3 linked regions of the Schizosaccharomyces pombe genome follow. Changing the gene in region 1 together with any one later gene gives a genetic interaction. Each region holds a gene or a part of one and is shown in the gene's direction. Other genes may lie near its edges.

What was found. A genetic interaction does not mean that the proteins touch.
Region 2: of pim1 (region 1) and san1, a mutation in one rescues a mutant of the other (synthetic rescue), as found in Schizosaccharomyces pombe (one study listed by BioGRID).
Region 3: of pim1 (region 1) and sbp1, extra expression of one is lethal in a mutant of the other (dosage lethality), as found in Schizosaccharomyces pombe (one study listed by BioGRID).

What each region holds. Positions count from the first base shown.
Region 1 is NC_003423.3:2,487,421-2,493,871, reverse strand, and holds pim1 (RCC1 family Ran GEF), read left to right. Parts: upstream 1-2,836; 5' UTR 2,837-2,901; exon of another isoform or gene 2,902-3,031; 5' UTR 3,032-3,043; coding exon 3,044-3,649; exon of another isoform or gene 3,650-3,824; coding exon 3,825-4,838; 3' UTR 4,839-4,853; downstream 4,854-6,451. Other genes in the region: Ark1/Prk1 family protein kinase Ppk29, read right to left, coding at 1-1,479, 1,519-1,652, 1,725-1,824; SPOM_SPBC557.02C (uncharacterized protein), read left to right, coding at 4,936-5,547; Rho-type GTPase-activating protein Rga5, read right to left, coding at 5,980-6,451.
Region 2 is NC_003423.3:2,951,303-2,957,443, reverse strand, and holds san1 (RING finger protein), read left to right. Parts: upstream 1-1,985; 5' UTR 1,986-2,402; coding exon 2,403-4,628; 3' UTR 4,629-4,849; downstream 4,850-6,141. Other genes in the region: putative transport protein Tvp23, read left to right, coding at 312-478, 540-975; SPOM_SPBC2A9.03 (WD repeat-containing protein), read right to left, coding at 4,947-6,141.
Region 3 is NC_003423.3:294,755-298,734, reverse strand, and holds sbp1 (Ran GTPase-binding protein Sbp1), read left to right. Parts: upstream 1-1,564; 5' UTR 1,565-1,581; coding exon 1,582-2,029; intron 2,030-2,201; coding exon 2,202-2,330; intron 2,331-2,428; coding exon 2,429-2,499; 3' UTR 2,500-2,688; downstream 2,689-3,980. Other genes in the region: alpha-1,2-mannosyltransferase Omh4, read left to right, coding at 1-964. UniProt on the Schizosaccharomyces pombe protein: Stimulates the GTPase activity in the presence of RNA1. May potentiate the action of RanGAP1 (RNA1), thus playing the role of a negative regulator.

The sequences.
Region 1 (6,451 bases):
ATCAAAAGAAGACCTTACGCTACCAACCCCTTCCGAAAAATTTGTATCAAAGGCAGATATATCCTGAGTACCAGTGGTATGAGTACTATTTGCGGTTGAAGTACCAGCTGTCTGACGGAAACTAGCGAATGCATCATCAGCCAATTTTGCTATCTCTTGTTCCCTAGGGTTATGATGAGAACTAGTCGTAATATTAGTATGACTAGTAAGCTGTGACTCCAACTCATTTAGATCAGGATAACGCTGGTTAACAACTTCCTCAACGTCAACGTTATCGGCATCGAGTCCGGCGTTTGGTGAACCATTATCTTCTGTAACCTCGCTAGCAGAAAATTTTGAAGATGTTCCCGTGACTCCCTGAGATATTGGGAAGGGATTCTTACTTTGAGGTGTGTAGACTTTGCGACCACTAGCTCCTGAGCCAGTTACAGAACTTGATGAAACAACCTTCGGAGACGAAACACTCTGTCTGTTCACATCTTGAGTGTTGTTAAATGTTGCGGATTGGCTGTGGATAGAAGGATGTGCACTAGCTTGAGAAGTGCCAGAGAAAGTAGGTTGCAAAAATGGATTAGGGGAAACGGTTGGTACAGTCGGCACATTTGGTACGTTATAGATAGGAGCTGGCATAGGAGGAGGAGGGGGAGGTCTTGAGCCCTGAACCTGTGGAGTCGGCATGACTTGGTTTCCAGCAAACGGTGTTGTTGTTGTTTGTCGAAGCAAAGACATTATTTTCCGGTTATGCAAATCATAAAAAGACGACTCTCTTCCACTGTATATATCCCTAAAAGGTAAAGCCGTCCCTCTAAGACGACATATCTCACACATCAACTGAAAAATATTTGGACGAAGACAAGGATTCGGCTGAAGTAAAGCGATGATGACATTTTTAAGAGAATGTGAATAAGGAGGAAATGGGGGGAAGGAATATGAAGCTGTTAATATAGCGTTAGGACCTTGTGTTTCAAAAGGAGTTGTATAGTAACAGAGTTTGTATAACAAGACTCCTAAAGCCCACATGTCACTTTTCTCATCAATTCCTAAGCCTGAATACAAATTAATCATCTCAGGGGCACGATATTGGTAGGTAGTAAATGTGTTGATACTTTTTTCTAATGCTTGAATTTCGCTAGAGTTTTCAGCAGCATGCATTGGCTCAGTCACACTTCCAAAATCGCACAATTTAAAAGTATTAAAGCTTAGCAAAACATTTTCTACTTTCAGATCGCGATGAATGAGAGGAGGTCTCAGATAGTGTAAGGAAGCAACACCCTGTACAATATCTGAAATAATTTTTAAGACTTCATGCTCTGACAACCGAGTTTGTAACCTTTGATTCATAAAATCTATCAATCCACCCCCAGCGCAGTATTCCATCAAAAGCAGGATTTCAAATCCAGTGTTGACACCCGCTTTCTCGAGAGGAAATATGCAGGAGTCGATATACGAAACCACGTGGGGATTGGATTTGAGTAGTTCCTAATAAGTTAGACAAAAAAATCAATAACGTTAACATACCATCGTTTCGATTTCAGTTTTCACGAAACGCAGGGCATTCTCGTCTGGAGAATACATGCGTTTCAAAACAGCAGTTATCGGTGATCCATCAGTTTTGGAATTTGTTTGAACAAGATATACATGAGAAAAGCCGCCTAATGAAAAATGTTAGTAAAATAAATCTTTCATTGTAATACTCCTCGATCCATCCAACCCAAAAATTATACCTTCGGCTATGTACTTTTCGATAGTAACATTGTATTTTCCAATTACAAACTTGGATCCTGCTAGAAGCTTTTCGCCCGTGAGAAAGGATGCAACAGACATCCTAGAGAGGTTTTTTGTTCAATACTGGCTGAAGTCGCGAGGTTATTGTTTACACTCTCGCAATTCAATGGGACAGCATCCGAAGCCCTATCTACGTTAGTTGTAAATTTATTATAATAACTTACTCTTTGAAAAGGCTGTATTTACACAGTTTTGATCAAGATGAGCAAGGGATGCCAATTCTGCTGTTGGCAAGGTACTGAGCCAGTCACCAAACACCACAAGTCCCTTCTATAGGGTTAACCTTTGAGCCATTACCGATAGATAAAACCGCCCCCCACAAGACAACTTGCCGTATTTTGAAAATTTCAACTACAACTTTTAATAATTTGAGCTGATTAAGAAGAGAAATTAATTTTACAGTATACTCAAGTTCACAGGCAAACTTGTAGAATCAAGTTGAGTAACATCGTTACCCAAATTTATGACATGGCAAATTCACAGACATATAAATCCAGAAAAGAATAAAGAAAACAGAAACTGCTAACGACTATGTTCATTGTAACTAAATATTAAATCATGAGGGAAAAAAGTATATGGTCCTCATAAAAATAATTTATGAAGAGATTAAAATCGCGTTGCTTGAGTTCGTATTCTCGCATACGATCTTGCTGAACGATGGACACTCCGAGTCTTACTGTAACTTCTTATGACTAATGAGCTTTTTTTTTAAATTTGATCTTTGTTTAGCTATACATGAAACCGCTTTCTCAGATAAGAAGAGGTCTCAAATTTTCAACATTCGACGTGATTAAACGAATTTATATAAATCAAATGAAGTTAAAAAAAAAGAAAGGATTTCATAAAAATTCGTAGCTCACCTTACACACATTTGAACAAATACAAGCTGGGAACTTTTACTGAAGTCAATAACTTATTTTGCTAAACGAAGCTTATGTTGTAATTAACGAATGCTTAATTACAAGCTGCACATAACAACGATTCGCAGTATACTGAATAGTGAGAATCCGTATACAGAACGACTTGTTCGAGTTTTGAAAACAACGTCTCTGCGAAAACAAAAACGACATAAATCGTTGTTTTTTGTCTTTTGTAATATTTTAAACCCAAGCTATAGTAAGTGGTACCAAAAAGTAAATGTAATTCTTGGATTTGCGTCTGGTGATGGTTGCATGGAATACGCGATGACATCTTGTTCTTTTTTAAATTACAAATCGATTGTTAGTAGCAAAGCTAACCCTTCCAGCTAAAACTCATAATGACTTCTAATAGAAGTACTAGAAGCTCAACTAAAAGAGAGGAGGTCTCAAAAAATGGGGTTGAAAAAAGAGAATTAGATGAATCAGATGTGATGAAAAATGGCAAAAAGCCGGTTAAACGTGCAAAGGTCAGCTCTCTACCCAAACCCGTTCGTGTCCCAGGAAGCGCAAAGCGAATTAATAAGATACCTGAACTACCTACGGAACGATTGAACGTTTACGTCTTTGGAAGCGGTTCCATGAACGAGCTAGGTATGGGCGAAGAAGAAATGGATGTCGTTTATCGTCCTCGTTTGAATCCTATTTTATCTACAGATAAAGTAGGAGTAGTCGATTTGGCTGTTGGCGGCATGCATTCTGCAGCCCTTTCTCATGACGGTCGCGTATACACCTGGGGAGTTAATGATGACTATGCCCTTGGTCGTCTTACTAAGGATCAAAAGGATGAGAATGGAGACAAAGTTGACAATGATTTACTAGAGGGAACTCCTTCTAAGGTCGAAGGTGCTTTATCTCATCTACGCGTTACAAAAGTTATATGTAGCGACAATCTCACTGCAGCAATAACGGACAATGGCTGCTGCTTTACTTGGGGTACTTTCCGTGTAAGTAATTTGTTTTGGCCGTGAAAAATTATCATTTGATCTTTGATTCCAAATTCAGGTGCTGTTATCGTTGCAGTGTTGTTTATAGTCTATTGACTCATTGTATCATTTCCCTTCGCCCTTTTGGAACAAATGGCTTTATAAATTTATCATTTTTCGTTTGCTAACATACTAGTGTTCCGATGGTGTATTAGGGTATAGCGATTCTCAAAAACGTACAGCTGAACCGACGCAGATGCGACTTCCCGAAATTTGTCAATTAGCTACAGGGACGGACCATATTATTGCCTTGACTACCACAGGAAAAGTATATACATGGGGTAATGGTCAACAGTTTCAACTGGGTAGACGTATGTTAGAACGTCGTCGACTTCAAGGCTTGACTCCTCAACCGTTAGCTTTAAAAAATATTATTTCAGTTGGAGCAGGATCGTATCATTCTTTTGCGATTGACAACAAAGGACGCGTTTATGCTTGGGGCTTAAATATAACCAGACAATGTGGAATAGAGGTAGAAGATGAAGAAGAAGGCGCCGTTATTACAAAGCCTACACTCGTTGATGCTTTAGAAGGATATAATGTTAAGTCTATTACAGGTGGTGAACATCATACCCTAGCCTTACTTGAAGATGGGAGAGTGTTAGCCTGGGGTCGAGATGATCGTCATCAATTAGGAATTCCGGATAATGCACTTCCAGAAACAGTAGTTAAAGATGAAAAGGGAAACAATTACTACTTGTCAACCCCTACTATAATCCCAGGACTTACTAATGTTATACAGGTCGTGTGTGGTACCCATCACAACTTGGCTGTTACCTCAGATGGTAAGGTTTATTCATGGGGATCTGCTGAAAACTACGAGGTTGGTCAAGGTGATAATGATGAAGATGTAGCTGTTCCTACATTAGTTCGTTCCAAGGCAATCAAGGAAGTGGCGATCCGTGTAGCGGGTGCAGGTGGTCAATTTTCCATCATTGCTGGTATTCCCAACGCTTCCGAAGAGCCAGTTGCAAATGGCATAAAAAGCGAACCCGAAAATGAAAAAAAATTAAAAACCGAAGAAACTTCCAAAACGGATGACTCTCCCGTTACTGATGCAAAGCCCGATGTCACCTCTAACGGCGAACCATCTACCGCTACATCTGAATCTAAGGATTCTGTTCTCGAACCCAGCTCCACCACTGCTTAGTACTTAATTTCTCAATTTCTTTTAACTATTTTTGGGCTAGATAAATTATTTTGAATATCAATGTGTTTGATGCATACAAAATTCATGAGTTTTCCAAATGGATAAAAAAATCGCAGATTTGCTTCAAGAGCTTCAAAGCTCCTCCAACGTAACGAGTAATCAGCTTGAAAATGTAGACAAATCATCCATCCCTCTATCGAAGGCTCGGAAACCCTCTGATTTTGAGTTGAACAATTCTATAGAGGACGCAGAAAAAATTAAAACCTATCCCGCTGCCTTGAGGTACATCTTTGCCCTAAATTCCCGCCATCCCGAAAAGTTACAAAAATTAAGAAAGATGAAGGCTATGCAGGAACGTCAAGAGCGCAACTGGTCTCTGGAACGGCAGCGGCTAGTTCAACATTTTGAGTCGAAAACTAAGCTTCAAGAAATACTGAAACCGCTTTCCTCCGACCCTAAATTGAAACAACCGTCCAATTGTCTTAATGACCAGACCAACAATGATTCCGCTCAAACTTTAGATGACAATAGGGCTTTACAAGAATTTGATGAACAAGTGGTACAATTGACAAACAGGATGTACAAAGAACAGCTTGCAATCCTTGCAGACCTGAAGATACCATTGTTTTTGTCAGTGAATAATGATGAAGAGTTATCTGAAGATCAGAAGCGCCTCTTACAATTGTTACAGGATCTCCTTGGAGCCTAATAAAGTATAGATTGATAAATCCTTTCTGGTTACAATGTCGTTGTTGTTTTCATAAAAGTTTCTTTGTACAGATATATGGACACCAAATTAATAAAAATTTAAAATTACGAAAGTAGCTGAAAGCTGTCAGATAAATTTACTATGTAGATAAATATATTGATCTACCAAAACAAAAAACAATTACAAAAAACAATAACGAATTGGATAATTTGTTCTTACTATGGTTAAGTAGAACTTCTAAAATGAAAATGGCTGAATACAAAGAAAAAAACATAAAACGACAGTAGCGGTATCCAGCCTAAATGCAAATCCCAATAAAACTAAAAGAGCGGACGGTAACAACTAAGTATATATGTACAAAAAGATTCTTCGCCATACAACCAAGGACAAAGACAATTAAACTAGATAAACAGAGAAAAACAATTAAAAGTATTACATACGATTTTCCCTCCGGCGATCAAGTGTATGGAAAAGCTTCATAGATGAGCTTCTAGACAATGAATACGAACGAGATTTGATTCTTGGGGGTGAACCAGGATCCACCTCGGAGCTTTTCATGTTTGAAAAATTTGAACTCGGACTATTGGAATAAGTGGCACTAGAATGACGACTAAAAGAGCGCCAACGCTTAATGGATCCATTTCTTGGATTAAAAGAATTAATCCTAATGGATGTCGAGGCTATAGGAGTAGGTGCAGCAGATTGCGTAATTAAAGTAGAAGAAGTATTTGGAGAAGTAGGCGCAGCTACCAGAGGAGGTAGTGAAGACAAAGGAATGGTTTTGATAAAGCTTCCTTGATGATTGATAAGGAACAAAAGAGCCGTTTGCGATATTTGATAATCTTTTGAGTAAACCTCGTGATCAGGATGAGATAGAATTCCAGGTTGGAAAATAGCAGCCAAA
Region 2 (6,141 bases), 460 kb from region 1:
ATTTACTTCAAATGCTTAGATGATAGGCATTAACAAAATTAAACAGACAGGCAGTCAGATTCATACTTTGGATATTATATGCATTACAGTTTTAAAAAAATTTAATAAACATTTTCGTTAGAAGAATATTATAAAACTTAAATTAACAACTAAACATTCACTTTCGAATACGATCTTTTAGAAAACCAGGCTTGCTACACAATAAGAATCTTCGTTAAGGTTCCTTATTCGCATACTGTCAAACCCCTGCTGAGATGTTCACCTCTTTGGATCGAAACCTTTACGTTGATAACCATATCACGTTGACGAAAATGGACTATCAAAATACGGAGACAATTGCCGAGCAGGAAAGGAATGCTAGTAGGCTACCGCAGATGTTTCAAATGTCTTCGCATCCTGTAGCTCTTTTCTTCTTTCTTTTATTTCGTACCGGTGCAATTGTGGCATACATATTGGGCATGTTCTTTACCTCAAGTTTGTAAGTTTTTAATAGCAGAAATTTAAAAGAAAAAGAAATTGAGCTAAACAAATAAAAATAGTATGTTGTTGTTTATTGTAATTTTCACTTTGCTAGCTGTTGATCTTTGGACTGTTAAAAACGTCTCTGGTCGTTTACTAGTTGGTTTGAGATGGAGAAATGAAACTGGAGTTGATGGTGAAAGCATTTGGATTTTCGAATCGGCAGATCCCAGTCGTCCCAGAAACGCCGTTGATCAGAAGACGTTTTGGTACGCTCTCTATCTATATCCATTTATTTGGATCATATTGGGGATTGTAGCTATAATTCGATTTGAATTTCTCTGGCTTGCACTCGTTGCTGTCGCAATTGGACTGACAAGTGTTAACACCGCTGCTTACAGTCGTTGTGACAAAGACGCGAAGCGTCGTTGGGCTACAGAACTTGCAGATTCCAATTCTTCTGGATTTGTTTCCAGATTTTTATCTAGGGCTTTTATCAAGAGATTTATTGGTTAAAGCTCTTTCAAATTCTGTAAATAATTTTTCGAACTACATTGCATTTTAAGCTCATTGTATATGAAAAAGCTAATTTCATGGGATTCTGGCTTAACGATTTGCTTGTTAATTAAATTGACGAAAGCGCTGGAACGATATTGTGTTTTTACTTCCCAACTTTGAAATGACAGAGCGTCAATTTGAATCCTTAAGCATCAACTGATTACGTATTTTTATAATACAAAAGCCAAAAGACTGTATGACGGATCCTGTATTTTAGTATGAGTTTATATAACCTCCCATACTGTTACTTTCAAGCATATATCTTCTTTTCTGATTGAATATTTGAATAGAGCCCAATGGTTATTTTTAGGTGCACATTACGTTCTTTTATTCATACATTCTTTTATGGTTAATACTATCACACAAAGTTTCATGAAGGCCAACTGAGATCTTTTGAAACCCACTACATTTATTTTTCCATTGATAACATTCTTAGTTAGACTTCAAATATTTACGCATGGAGTGCTTAATAAGATACCGATGAACGAAACTTCAAAGTTTGGTGCTACTTTTTATTTCGACAACTATGTTCCTGCGTGTGTTTGCTGTGAACTTAAAATTTAATACTTTCTTATTAGTGATGAACATATATTGAAACGAAGTTCTTATAACAGCATAATAAAAGCGGAAAGAATATGTAATTGTTAGTTTCTAATATACATATTTTAAATGGCAAAATATGTATTTAGATGATTCCTTTACTAAAGAGCATATCATTTTTTTAGTACATATATAAAGCATTAGCTTAAATGTCAATTATAAATTCAAGGATATGCGGTTTCTTACACGATTCGCAGAATTTCGGTTTTCATATGCTTTATGTCAACAAACCTCCCAACTATCAAATAAGGAGAACCTTTTATAACTCCTTAAAAATATTAAGGTATTGAATGTCCTAATGAACGCCCACATGTTCACTGTCTCTATTGGCAATATATAATGGAAGTCCCTGGTTTTCTATTTTGTTCAACACCACATTTTGCACCTTAAAAGATAGTTTAAGTGGAAAGGTGCACTTTATAACATTCTATAACGTCTTTTATTTTCTATTTACTTTTTTTTTTGCTTGCCTAAATAAATATTGAAATATTCAGTGGCCAGAAAACCCCGATGGAGAATGTTACATTTTCCTTACCATTAAATTTTTGATTCCTGTTTTTTTATTACCGCAGCAATCATATTTTACCATATTCCTCCTTTGTATATAATAAGTCTCCTACAAATATTTCCTTTGTCTTATTTGTTGTTTTTATTTTGAGTACTGCTTTATTTATTTAGATTCGACTTTATTGTGGTCGTTTTATTTCTTTTTTTTGGTTTTATTATTAGACCACTGAGGTACTAGTTTTTTGTATAGAATCTCCTGTTACAATTATCTGTTTTAAATGGATTCCAATACAAATGAGAATAATTCTCATGCATCATCAAACGAGAGACAATCATCTGAAGGGCATGATGACTATTTGAATCGTAATCCAAACAGTGAAGCAACTGAGGGTGAAGAAGGTACCCACCCTACCACGGGGACTCAACCAGTTGCTTTTTCAATTGGTACAATGTTTATCATAACTCCTCAAGCCAATTTCGAGGGTGGAGAAAATGATCCGTTTGCCAATCCCTTTCAACCACCCGTAAAACGCGCTGTAAAAGAAGCCTGGGATTCTTTCGAACCTTTGTCTAATGACCAACTGATGGATTTGACTTGTCCGATCTGTTACGATGATATGAATGAAAATGATGAAAAGCAGGCTACCAAGATGCCATGTGGCCACATATTCGGTAAAAATTGTTTACAAAAATGGCTTGAAAATCATTGTACATGTCCTCTTTGTAGAAAAGAGGTTCCCCACGAAACAGTAGGTTCAGCTCATCCTCCTATTTTATTTATCATTCCACACTCACATACGCTTCGTGGCAACCAAGGCAACACCGCGGTTTCTCAAGAAAATGCATCAAATGGTGTTCATTCCGACTTTCATCCATCTGAGGAGCTTAACAATGCAAACACTGATGGTCGAACCGGCGTAGACGAACCAGCTCGGCAACTGCATCGCATTGCTTTTAACCGAATACGTTTTATTCTAGCTCCAAATCGATCTGCCACCAATACCCCTGTTGAAAATACTCACCCTGAAAACCCTGACTCAAACACCTCAACACCTACTACTCGTAGTGAGCCCTTAGCAGGAGAAGGTGCCTCTATTGATGCCGAAAATGCTAGCTCTAGACAAGAGACTACTCCTTCGGATTCTCGTCCTTCGACGCTTACGTCCTTATTTAATGCTTTCTTTTCATCTATGCCTGATCGCCCTTCCTCTAATGAACCTATGACTTCGAATCTTACCTCTAATTCTGGTAGTATGACGAATAGTACTTCCACAGACTTGCCAACTAGTAACTTGCCCTCTCAAAATGCTCCAGCTAGACCAGTTGAGCCGTCACCTTCAATACAGCCTCCCAATTTGCTAAATCTTCCAACGGCTTCGCCTGAATCAACTTCATGGCTTCCTGGAAGCCAAACAAATATCCCTGCAAATACGAATCGATCTGAAAGGCCTTTTACACAGTTAATGACGTTCCATGGTCTTCCTTCATTAGCCGATTTACCAGCTGTTCTTGAGTCTATGTTCCGTCCTAGCGGTAATAATAACCTGCTTAATTTAAATGGAATTTTCCATCCCGATCACAATGCGCAGACTGAAAACGGTCAAACGTTGCCAGAGAATACTGACGACACCAACAGCAACGCTACGTCCGCAGTTCCCAATCTACAGAATTTAAATCAGCAAAATGCTGTAACTATGGGTACAAATACACCAAATAATGGTTCCTCCCCTGCTGTTCATCCAGTAATTCATATATACTTGTCGAGACCGCCTTTACAACCTGCAGTTAGCGAACAGGAAACTCCTTCTGAAGCGGTTTCAAGGGAAGGTACTAGAAGTACAGATGCTACGATGGAAGATTCAAGTAGACCTCCAAGCAATGGCTCTTTCCAAGGTCCTGGTATTACCCATCTCAGTGAAATGGGGCAGCGCATTTTGCAAAGGTTTCAGGAAGAAATGGAGAATCGAATGAATCAAACTAGAAGTGAATCGAGCACCCCTGCTCAGCAATCAGCTGCTGGAAGCAGCATTAATGTTGACACTGCCGGGCGACAACCTTCCGATGAGATAAATATTCCTGGCGAATACGAAAACTCGAGTGAAGTTGCAGGATCACGAAATCAAACTCCTACCCATTCTTCCATTGCTGTAGACACCTTGAGTAATGTTGCGGTAGACCAGCCTGCGATATCCACTCCGTCGGACGTTGTTGGTAGTGATGCCGGTGATACTAGCAAGGTTTCGTCGGGAACTAGCACTCCTCGAATGGCTGCTCCGATTGCTAGACGATCAAATCGGCATCATCCGTATAGCAGACCTAGCTCAACGCGTCCTCAGTGTCAGCTTGAGGATCAAGGCATTTGTGATCCTAATGATAGATTTGTGCACTTCGAATGCGGTCATTCAGTACATGAAAGATGCCAGCAATCTACTAGCAACTCCGAAAATCAAATGGACGAAGAAATTGGAGAATGCCCAAAATGTCGTAATGAAGAGCATAAGTAATGTTTGTGTTTTTTTACTCTTTTGTTATCTTTATCATGAAAAATATAGTTGTTTGTTTATTATGCCTTTTTAAATCTTCAATACAAATTTGGTGATGTCCCTTTAGAGTATCAATATTTCATGCTATATAGATTTTTATTGTTTTTGTATTATTTATATCTCAATACTTATCATCTATATTATTTGCTCTCCTATAAACTAAATGATTATTTGACTATTACAAAAAATCTCATTATTTTTTTCAACGTTCATTAATAGTTTTGTTTGGTACCAAGGAATTTATTATTATAAGATTAAATGACTCAATGAGTTAAAGAATTAAAATATGAAAGATAGCGGATGTTGTAAAGGTCTCCTAAATTCTAAAATGCCACCCAACATGGGATCGTCTACACCAATAAATAAACTGTCGCCAGAAGATGAGTAAGCGGTTCCGGCGATTTCTCCAAAAAAGTCAATAACTTGGGATGTATTAAATAATTTAGTATCAAAAAGTTGAACAAAATCGGCTTGTTCCGTGACAGCTAAGCTTTCACCTAATGGAGAAAAGCACAAATTCGTCACAGCACTCATTTGGCTACCTAGATTTCGAAACGACTTACCAAGGGCACGTATGTCCCAAACTTTAGCCGTTGTATCTTGTCCTCCAGTAGCCAAAATATTTCCATTTGGATGCCACGAACCAGTAAGTACAGAGTCGGAATGGGGAAGTTTGGCTGAAACGGAATTTGATCTAATATCTATTAACATGGCGTCTTTCGAATCCGTGCATACAAGCGCTAATGGAGTTTCATCAAAAAGTTGGACGCAGTTAACAGCATTTGAACACCTGTAAACAAGAATGGGGCTAGTACGCTGGACATCTTCCACATAAACAGCACCATCATTACAGCCAAGGATGAATTTTTTTTCGGAAAAAAGTTGAATATGATTAATCGAATCATCTGAAAGCTTACGAGTACTAAAACTTCCGTTTTTAAAATTGAAAATACAATATTGTCCATACAATGTTCCCAGACATCCTACGGCATTTGTAGTATCCAAACATGATATCGCTTTTTTCTGAAGGATATTATTCTTAAGGTCAATGATTTGAACAGAATTATCATGCAATGTGTTTTCCATTCTGATGCTGTTATTGCTCACATAAATGACAGAATGCTCACCAACCACCTTTACGCTTTTGCAAAGATGGTGATGATTCCGCAAGCAATTAGGATTTTTCAAAAATCTTTGAAATTCATAAAACGAGTCTTCAGCGGCGACTTGTACAGTATCTAGCGATAGCTCTTCGGGTGACCAGTCTGAATGATTGCAAGACAGGCTATAAGTGTGTAATCGATAAAGACGAAAGTTTTTCCGTTTACCAATTGCTTTATTTCCCCAGGGAATTCCTTGAAAATCCACTGTCCCACAATTATCGGTGCTTTTTGGGTTCAATTCAAAATTTGATGCAGTGGGGAATCCATAGTGGTCTAACTGAATTAAATTCCGGTTTCCTGTATACCAAGAA
Region 3 (3,980 bases), 2.2 Mb from region 1:
TCGACATTTTAATTACCCTTATACATTTTTAAACGATGAGCCCTTTGATGAAAAATTTAAGGAAACCATTCTTAAACTTACATCTGCGAACGTTGAATTTGGAACGCTTGAAAAAGATACTTTTGGATTTCCTGGTAATGTTGATGTAGATGCAGCGCGTGAAGCTATTGCAAGTCAAGGAGATCGAGGTATCATGTATGGTGATACAGAAAGTTACCATCATATGTGTCGCTTTTTTTCGGGGTTCTTTTATAAGCATCCGTTGCTACTCAAATATCAATGGTACTGGCGAGTTGAACCCGACGTAGCTTTCACATGCGATATATCTTATGACCCTTTCTACTACATGGAAGAAAATGGGAAAATATATGGTTATGTTGTAGCATTAAAGGAATTAGAAGACACTGTTCCAAACTTGTTTCGATATACCTCGGCTTATCGTCGAAATAATAATTTAACCTCTAACATGTGGAAATTCTTTTTGGATGCTCCTAAAAAGGAAAACTACGATATTTCAAGAAAAGACCCTACAGTAGGTCTCTCCTTTTCCTCTCATTTAAATGCTATGATTGACTCATCATATTCAGCAGAAACATCTTCAATGGAAGGGGAGTCCTATAATATGTGTCATTTTTGGAGCAATTTTGAGATTGCAAATTTCAAGTTCTTCAGAAATGAACAGTATGAGAACTTCTTCCGTACAATGGATGCGACAGGAGGCTTTTGGACTGAAAGATGGGGAGACGCTCCATTTCACTCTCTAGCTGCTGGACTGTTCTTGTCGAAAGAACAGGTTCATTATTTTCGTGATTTAGGATATCGGCATTCTGACATTCATCATTGTGGACAAAGTCTGGGTTGCAATTGCGAATGCATTCCTGAGTTATCAGAAATAGAATCTACTTCTGGAGGTTGTGTCACCCAATGGGTGAATTTAATAGGTGATGGATTCTTAGATGAATGAGTTTTGATATCGTAATTGCATTCTCACTTAATATGCTGTTTTTTTTTCTGCACGGACGATTTACTTAACTGCAATTAATGCCAGAGTTAAAAGCTAGGGCTTACAAATATTAATTTTTTGCTTTTTTTTATATCATCTGTCTTTCACGTACCTTTTCGGATTGTTTTACTTATTTTCCAAGCTATCTAGCTGTTGAACAAACGTTTGAAATTTAATTGATAAACACTGGTCTTTTTATTCAAAATAGGTGATAATCTTACTTTAATAGTTAAGATTTAATGTAAGCATCTTTTATTTATGATGAGTATTTTTTGACAATCATAAAATAGAACAACACCGAACAATCTATGCATAACGAAGTATAAAATGTATACACTTCAAATAGTTATAGAATGTGTAATGACTACAAATGAAAAAATTTTTAGCATCTTATTGATCAGTAAAGAAGTTATACAAGAGACTAGTAGCTTTAAGGCAAAGATTTTATTAGCAAATGATTTTTTATAGATTCCCGACTAACACAGCACCCATTTCCAATATGTTTGTTCGAATACCGAGTTACTGTATATTATAATTTTTTCGTGGTACACTCTTCCTTCCATCAGCACAATACCACAATGTCCGCAGAACAAGAAAAAAAGACTCAAGGAACTACTAAAGAAGAGCAGAAATCTTCTTTTGCTAGTGAAGACGTTGCTAGCAAGCAAACAGAAGAAGCCAAAGCTGTTTTTGGTGACGGTGTGGCCAAACAAGAAAACAAGTCTGGTGCCTCCACGAACGATGAGAAGAAGCCAGCTGAAGGAGATGAGGATGCTGAACCAGCTTCCCCTGAGGTTCACTTTGAGCCTATTGTCAAATTGAGTGCAGTCGAGACAAAAACTAATGAAGAAGAGGAGACTGTCGAATTCAAAATGCGTGCTAAACTTTTCAGATTTGACAAGGCAGCAAGCGAATGGAAGGAACGTGGAACTGGTGATGCTCGTCTCTTGAAACATAAGGAGACTGGAAAAACTCGTTTGGTTATGCGTCGCGACAAGACTTTGAAAGTTTGTGCTAACCACTTATGTATGTCCAATTAGATTAATGGTTGCATTTCTAGACGTTGAAAAGACATTATGCTACGTGTTGTTGAAATACTTTTTCTTAATACATTAAAGCTCACTGTCCTTTCGTGTCTTGACTATTTCTTTTCTCTGGTTTCTCAGAATGTAGTATCTGAATACTAACTTGTTTTTAGTGATGCCCGAGATGAAATTGACTCCCAATGTTGGAAGCGATCGTAGTTGGGTTTGGACCGTTGCTGCGGATGTTAGTGAAGGAGAACCTACTGCAGAGACTTTTGCTATTCGTTTTGCAAACTCAGAAAGTAAGTTTTTTTTTGGTAGAAATACCGATGTTTTATCAATCCAGTTGATATTAACAAATAACCCTATTTCAACTGTGGTACTAACCAAACCTCGTTAGATGCCAATCTCTTTAAGGAAAACTTTGAAAAATACCAAGAAGAGAATGCCAAAATTCTCAAAAAAAATTAGTTTATATCGTCATTTATTCTGGGCTTGCTATAATAGAATTAACTTTTTTCCATCTTTTTCCTTCTCACGGTAAAGTTGATGAGTTGCTGTTGAATTTCTATGAGTCTATTTGCAGTTCTTTTAGGGTGGTATAAATATCTGAGAAAATACGTTAAAAAATATTTAAAATTCAATGAACGTCTATGTAAGTTTAACCATTGTAGAATGAAATGTATCGTACAAAGGTAAAGTTTAGCTGGTGCATGGAGCAAATGCATATTGTTTATTATAGTGAGTTGTTATAGGAGTTGAAAAATAATTTATCAATAATACTATGAGAAATGGTTTAATGGTATACGGATCTGTAAATAACTTAATTCAGTGTTTCAAATTACCAAAAAAAAAAAGAAAATGAGTGAATGAAGGAGCTCTGTAAAATCTTGAGTTCAAGCTGGTACGTTTCGATCCGAAATGAGAAGGGAGTTTAGACTTTTGAAGTAAAGTATGCATTCGGGATAGAGGTGACTTTTCAATTCGAAGAAAAATTATTGGCAGCTAGTGTATAACAAATACAAGAATTGTAAACGAAGTTAAATTAGACGAATTATAAGTCATCGGCTCGAAACAAACTGGTCCAATTTAAAGCTTTTCATTTCGAACGTGAAAAGCAAAAAAGAGTTTGCAAGAAAAGCAATTTTTGGTAGATTGCAAGATACTTTCAATCATAAGTAGAAAACTATGAATCCTTACAAATGCCTTTTTATATTAAGTCTTGTCATACAAAAGAAAAATTGATTGATGGGCATTTCCTTGGGAAAACAAAGCTGTATTTGCTTGACAGTTGATTGATAAATTGAATTAGTCAAGAGCCATCAAAAAATTGTGCTTTGTATATTATAACATTTGTGAAATCACAACGTTTAAGAAGAGCAACCCCATATTCAAACGGAAACTAGCAAGTTGAAGTATTTTTTAATCTTACTAAGCATTTTCACTTTCATTAGCATAAACAGAACCCGAACGAGTTAATCCTTAACAACAAATTGCTTATGATGTTTTATCACGCTTGCGGCAATTCATCCCTTCTTTTCGCGCAATATTGCAATTCAAAAATTATATTTTATCCAAGAATAAAATTTCTGGACGGGATTGAAGAAAACATCGGTAACAAGCTTAGTAAGATGATTTTATCAAGACTCTAAACTACGATAAATTAGAAAATGCCAAACAAAGCGCCAGTTCAGATTTGCGTCTCTCAATTCAACTTTAAATTTTGACAAGGAAAAATAATGTTAATAAAAATAAAATTCTAAAAAGTCTTTTACTGATGCGAAGGCTTAGGATCGTTCAACAAATCCTTTCATGTTGCCAAATGTAACACCACCGCTTGAGGTGCTAATGATTGTAAATCGGCCGCTCCAAGGATTGCTTACATGAAATAAAGACAAGTTTAAGATTTTTACAAAACGGATGGGGCGGAATCTTACTCATCGTTAGAAAAA